2 linked regions of the Macaca mulatta genome follow. The protein of the gene in region 2 interacts with the protein of the main gene of each other region in a pairwise test. Links are inferred from orthologs where the notes say so. Each region holds a gene or a part of one and is shown on either strand. Other genes may lie near its edges.

Region 1 (3,656 bases), on a different chromosome or scaffold from region 2:
TACAACAGTATCTTATAACAAAAGTTAGGTGAATTTGATCTCTCTCTCAAAATATTGCACTGTGCTCACCTATTTTGGATGCAGTTGACCGTGGATAGCTGAAACCTCAGAAAGTAAAACCCTGGGAAAGGAGAGACTACTCTGAATGTATTTTGACTTACAATATTTTCAGCTTACAGTGGGTTTATTGGAACATTACTCGATTGTAAGTCAAAGACCACCTGTATTCTTAGGAAAATCCCACAGAACAGAGCTGTTTACTCCAATCTCATATGTCCAGTCTCAGCAGAGCCTCAGTTTCTGGTATATTCCACCATTGTGGGGCAACCTGCAGACCCTGAAGACTGCTAGTTCATTTTTGTTTACTGATTTTGGTTGGTTTTCCATACTAGAGTTGCCATGGAGAAAATTTCAGTGTCAGCATTCTTGCTCCTTGTGGCCCTCTCCTACACTCTGGCCAGAGATACCACAGTCAAACCTGGAGCTAAAAAGGACACAAAGGACTCTCGACCCAAACTGCCCCAGACCCTCTCCAGAGGTAGGAGTCAGCTTCTTGTTGGCTTCCAACTGCTACTTAATTGGAAAAGATTTCCTCTCTCTTGGTGCTTAAACCTGGTGCTAACCTGGTGCCAGGTTATTTTGGGTTGTGTTCCTTCTAGATTTATCATTGTTTATAATTATTTCTACTTTCTCTAGGGGGTTTTCTTCTTCTTTAGTATCAGTTCTATTATCCAAGTCTTTACCACTGCTTTACAACAGCTTTGGGTGTGAATTAGAAAAGCTTCAAATATACTGATTCATTTCATTCTAGGTTGGGGTGACCAACTCATCTGGACTCAGACATATGAAGAAGCTTTATACAAATCCAAGACAAGGTAAAGATCAGGGTTACTCAGAGGTCCCTCAAAGCTCTCAAGAGCACCACCTACTGACATCTAGATATATGTGAAATCTTACTCAATAAAATTTGTCTCATCTCTCTTTGTCTTTTAAAGCAACAAACCCTTGATGATTATCCATCACTTGGATGAATGCCCACACAGTCAAGGTAATTTATTCTTCTAAATATGATTTCCTTTATAGGCTTTTAGCCTTAGGGCCAGGGTTCAGATCACTCATGTTTGTATCTTTAGAGCTACAGTTGCATTTAGAAAAATGAATATTTCCTATAGTAAAAACATATTTAAAAGTGACTTCAAATATCTCCACGTTTTGTGATAACCGTTGGTACATATTTTGAAAAACTAGCTTTAGGATTCATCTTCAACTTCTTGATTTCTCTTACAGTCCACATTCAATACACCAGCAAATACTGGCTTTATCTTCAAAATATATCCTTAAACCAGCCCCAGATCCACAGGCATGAAGCCTGTGCCATCTCACAGGGCCCCAAGCTTAGAAGGTTCCCACACTTGGTTTAAACTCTGCTGTCATTGTCTTAAAAGTCTTAGTAATTTTTCAACAAGGGGCTCTACACTTTCATTTTGCACTAAGCCCAAATCCAACCACTTCCTATTGCCTCCATGCTACTGCCCTGGTCCAAGCCAAGATCAGATCTTGTCTAGACTACTATAACAGTCACCTAACTGGCCACCCTACAGCCAAGTCCACACAGAAGCCAGAGTGAGGCTGGTAGACGTAAATCAGATCCTATCACTCACGTGCTCAAGTGGCTTCTTATCACAGAATTAAATCCAGATTCCTGACCACAAGCTATGAGGCTGACAGGATCAGGCCACTGGCTATCTCTCCCTTCCTACCACTCTCCTCTTGCTTTCTTCACCCTCTCCAGCCTGGCCTTCATGCTGCTCCTCCCACATCTGAGCTCATTCCCACCTCACAGCTATTGCTTTGCAGTTCCGCTGCCCAGTGGCCTAGCCCAGAATGGATCACTCCCTCACTTCAGTGTTAGCCCCTCAGGAAGATCTGCCTGGACCGCTCACAGTTTTTAAACCCTTTGCTTTAATTTTCTTCAAAGTACATATCTCTACCTGAAATTATCATCTACTTATTTCTTTGTTTATGGTTTGTCTCCCACACAAGTATTTGAGCTCTATGAAAAACGCACATGCTTTTTTTTTTTTCCCACTGTACTATCCCTAGTGTATAACACAGTGCTTAACACATGGCAGCCATTCAATAAATATGAGCTGGAGAAAACATAAATGGATGAATGAATGGATGAATGAGTGAATAAAAAGCAAAGGTAGTCAATGCCATAGATATTACTTCACTAATCATTTGCTAAAAGGCCAAAGTAGAATATTGTATTTAAAATGCAATTCAATAAATAAATAAAATGCAATTTAACTTAAAATAGAACAAAGCTTTTAACCAATGCTAAGATGGATGCTTAATGATTTTTCTTTATATTATAGCTTTAAAGAAAGTGTTTGCTGAAAATAAAGAAATCCAGAAATTGGCAGAGCAGTTTGTCCTCCTCAATCTGGTTGTAAGTTTCCTTTTCATCATTACTAACATTTCTCTATGGCTCATTACTTGAAATAGATGATTCATTTTTCCTATACATCTTAGTCATACCGCATTAACTGGGATTGCTTCCAAATATCCCATCTCATAGATTAGAGAGAAAAAAAAGATATTTCATTTTGTTAATAATCCATTTGGCATGTCTGTTTTTAGTTTGTCTGAAAAATTCTGTCCTGTAGTCAGAATTTTTCTGTTGCTAGAAAGTTTTTGTTACTTGCTGAGCCCATCCCTCTATAGTCCTGGCTTCTCTACACCCATTCTTGATCCTGGTCACCTCTCAGGAAGAGACAGCATTCTGGCTTTCCAACTCTAATCATGCCTCTTGTGCTTTAGCTTTATGCATTCCCACCTTACTTCACCATCACCACCCCTCATGGTGCTCAAGCTTTCTGTCTTGGCAAGTTCTTTTTACTGTATACAAACATTTCATGTTCCCTCTAAAAGAAAGCCAACAAAAAATGACTCTACCTAGTCATATGTCCTTTTGAGCCCCGCTGCCCTTCCTCTTCACAGGTTGGCTTCCTGAAAGAGCACTTCACACCAGTAGTTCTTCCTTGCCTCTCTTCCATGGGTTCCTCTTCCTACTCCTTAATGTGAGTGACATGATGAATCTCCACTTGACCCTTTTCTCTTTCCATATTTTGTATTCAGTGAACAACTTCATCTACAACTGCCTTTAATCAATTCTGACACATTAATAATTCCTACATCTTACCCAAACATGAAACAATATCCAACCTGTCTATCCAACCATATTCCAGATATCTTATAATCACCTTAAACTCAGAATGTTCCTCACTGCACATTAATCATCTTGGTTTGCGCTTTTCCAATAGCTCTTCTTTCTCTATTCCCTATTTTATTGAAAGTGGTACTGTGCTAGATTGGACTCTCCTACTCACCTACAGCATTCAGTAAGCCCTGTGCTTCTAAATTCCAAGTATTCCTGCTATTAGTCACTTCTCCATAAACTCAGGACCACTATTTTAGTAAGCCTCTTTCACTTTCCCTAGCTTACTGTAATACTGCTAAATGGCTCCCAGTCTACAAGATAAACCCTGTCTAATCCCACATGGCTGTCAGAGTAGTTGCTTTACAGACCAGACTGGGGTCACATTGTCTCTTGTAACATCCCTCCAGTGGTTCTTAACTATTTCTGAACAAAG
Region 2 (3,656 bases):
CAGAAAACAGAATACTTTTAAGATCATTTTATAGAGCCAATATTACCCTGATATCAAAACTAGAGACATAAAAGAAGAAGAAAACTACAGACTAATAACTCTCATGAACTTAGACACAACAGTCCTCAAACAAAATACCAGGAAACCAAATTTTTAAAAATGTATCAAAAAATTATACACCATGATCAAGTGGGATTTATTTAACATATGCAGGGCTGGTTGAACATCTGAAAATCAATCAGTGTAATCTACCACTTCACCAAGATAAAGAAACAGAATCTTAAAAGACTATCAACTGAGGCTGAAAAAGCATTTGACACAAATTGATTTTTGACAAAGGTGCAAAAGCAATTTGGGGGGAAGATAGTCTTTCAATAAATGATGTTAGAAAAACTCGACATCCACAGACAAAAAAAAATTAATCTTGACCTAAACCTCACACCTTATATAAAAATTGACTCAAAATGGATCACAAGCTTAAATGTAAAATGTGAAACTATAAAACTTTTAGAAAAACACAGAAGAAAATCTTTGGGATCTAGGGCTAAGAAAAGATTTCTTATAATTGACACTAAAAGCACAATTCATTAAAAGAAAATGTGATAAATTGTAACTCATTAATTAAAGGTTTTGATACAACAAAAGGACCCTGTTAAGAGGATAAAAAGCCAAGTTACACAGTTAAAGAATATACTTATAAGCCACATATCTGACAAAAGACTGGCATATAGAGTACATAACAAACTCTCAAAACCAAACAGTAAAAAAATCAAATAATCCAAATAGAAAATGGACAAAAGATATGAACACACATTTCACCAAAGAGGCTCTACTGATGGCAATAAACATGTGAGAAGACTTTCAACATCATTAGTCATCAGGGAAATGCAAATTAAAACCATAATGAGATATCACTTCACATCTGTCAGAAGGGCTAAAATAAAAAATAGTGACAACACCAAATTCTGGCAAGAATGCAGACAATCTGGATCACCCATACATTGCTAGTAGGCATGTAAAATGGCACAGTACCCTGGAAAAGAATTTGACAGTTTCTTAAAAAACAAAACAAACAAACAAAAAACATGTAACCACCATACCACCCAACAACAGCACTCCTAGGCATTTATCCCAGAGAAATACTTATATTCATAATAAACATGTACACCAATGTTCACACCAGCTTTTTTCATAATATCAAAAAAACTGGAAACAGCCTGTATGTCCATCAACAGGTGAATGGTTAAACAAACCATGGTGCATCCAAAATACCATGGAATACTACTGAGAAATAAAAAAGAACAAACTATTGATGCTCATGACAACTTGGGTGGATCACAAGGAATTATGCTGAATAAAAAATCCAATTCCCAAAGGTCACATATATATGACTCTATCTACACAACACTCTTGAAATGTCAAGATTATAGAAATAGAGAACATTAATTGTTGCTCAGGGTCAAGGAAAGGAGGGGAGTGGGTGTGGCTATATAAGGGCAACAGGAGGAATCCTTGTAGTGATAAAACTGTTCTGAATTTTGACTATAGCAATATCAATATCTTGGTTGTGATATACTATATTACTGTTAAGATGTTATCACTGGAGGAAATGATATAAAGACCATACAGAATGTTGTGTATTATTTCTTACATATACATATGACTCTACAATTATCTCAAAATAAAAAGCTTAACTTAAAAAATGAACAAATACTAGAGAGAAACATCATATACAGGCTCCAGAGCCTGTATATCCAGAGTTTGACTGCCTGAATTTTAATCCTGGATCAACCATTAACAAGTATGCAACTATGAGCAGATTATAAAATCTCTGTATGCTCTCGTTTTCTCACCTACAAAATGGGAATGAAAATACTGCCTACCTCATAGGGTTACTGTGAGGATAAATGACATGATGCTTGTAATGCATTGTCATCTTGCCAAACATACAGTAATTACACAATAAGTGGTAGCTATTATTCGTAATAGTAATGATTCTATTATAATGATATTCAGAAGGCAAAGGTGTGCTGTTAGTTATTCAACTTCCTAAGCTACAGAAATCTTTCTCTTAACTGTTCCCTCAACTCAATCATTTAGCTAACTTTCAAATATTATTCTAAAGTTATCCAAGCAAATGTCTTGTACATGATAAATAAAATGAAACACATGCAAGTTTTTAAATAAATAGGCTTACCTAACAGTTGAAGTATAAGGTACAAGGTTTTCAAACCCTCTTGATGACAGTTGGTTTTGGTTCACAGTAAAGCCACTGGTGATTGTGGTAGTAGTGTTGGTGGTGAAAGTGGTGGTGGTAGTCGTTGAAGTTGTAACTGGAAAATAAAGTGTATAATGTTAGTAAGAAATGAGAAATTGTTTCATTTAAGCCTTTATCGTTCAGATTTTAAATTATGGAGGCATTTTTAAAAATACAAATTTGAACTCAAAGATGCAGATTTGAATTCAACACTGTTGTAATATGAAATAATAAATGGCAGGCCAGGTACCTGGATTAACTTTCCAGCTGAAAACTAAAAATCCTGGATAAATTCATAGAAAAATAAAACTTCTAACCAGCCCAATAACCATGAAAGAAATCAAATCAGTCTTCAAAATTCTTCTCATAAAGAAAACTCCAGTCCCAGATGTCACTGCTGGTAAGTTTTATGAAACTTTCAAGAAAAGAATAATTGCAATTTACAAAAGATCTCTGTACATCTATATCTTTGCATACTTACATGACTGTATCTGTGTAATTAATTCCTAGAAATAAAATTTCTAGATCAAAGTGTCAGCATGCTCTAAATTTTAACATAACTTGCCAAATTGCCCTATCTAAACGTTTGATTTTGCCAGTTTATGTCCCTATCAATAGGAAAGAATGCCTATTTCTTTATACCACAGTCAATACTAGGCATGCATTTTTGCAAACCTTAGTCAAAAGCCTCTCAAAGCTTTATCTACAGCCCAGACTCTCTCTTATGTGTCTTTTTCTGTTACACCCCTATTAGAATGTCCTGCTCTCTATAGATAAAATCCTAAGTATCCTTCATGGCTTGACTCAAATTCTTTGTTCCCCATATTTATCACCTACTTCTCTCCTACTCATAGTTCCTTTGGTTTTCTAAATTTCTGCAGCACTTTTGGGTCTTATTACACACTGAGCACTTAATGAACAATGCACAGAAAATTGTGGCTGCTAGGGAACTGGGAAGGTTTTATTTTCTTCTTTTTGGTCTCGGTATTTTCAAATGTTCTTACAACTAGTAAATGTTGCTTCTGTAACAAGGAATCTGTTATGAAAATATAATGTACATGATTGTTTGTTTTATGTTAGCTTTGCTTTCCAAATTAGCAATAGTTTCAGATTAATGGCCACACCAGATAAATTCATAAACCATGGTGCCTGCTACAACCACTGACTACTCTGGCGGAGGCTGGCCTGAGGGAACATTCCTGCTGAGGGAACAAGCTCAAATACCCATTCTTTGTTCCAGATAACTGTCCTTTTTGTTCCTGGTTCACAGTTGACTGGGCAGGATGGCCAACTGAAGGATGGGAAGCCATCCAATGTACTACTAGCAGCCTACCTGAGGGTCTGGCACAAAAAGCTCTAGCGAAACAGGATTAATATGAGTCAGAATTTCATTTCCAAA

The links. The genes of interacting proteins can lie anywhere in the genome.
Region 1: the proteins of NUP62CL (region 2) and AGR2 interact in binary tests that used the Homo sapiens proteins (3 or more experiments, as listed by UniProt). The two-hybrid records come from large-scale screens. The link is inferred for Macaca mulatta from reciprocal best matches to the Homo sapiens genes NUP62CL and AGR2.

Annotation. Positions count from the first base shown.
Region 1 is NC_133408.1:111,469,669-111,473,324, forward strand, and holds part of AGR2 (anterior gradient protein 2 homolog precursor), read left to right. Parts: intron 1-392; 5' UTR 393-399; coding exon 400-538; intron 539-811; coding exon 812-875; intron 876-995; coding exon 996-1,048; intron 1,049-2,378; coding exon 2,379-2,452; intron 2,453-3,656. UniProt on the Homo sapiens protein: Required for MUC2 post-transcriptional synthesis and secretion. May play a role in the production of mucus by intestinal cells. Proto-oncogene that may play a role in cell migration, cell differentiation and cell growth. Promotes cell adhesion.
Region 2 is NC_133426.1:113,956,446-113,960,101, forward strand, and holds part of NUP62CL (nucleoporin-62 C-terminal-like protein), read right to left. Parts: intron 2,334-3,656; coding exon 2,198-2,333; intron 1-2,197.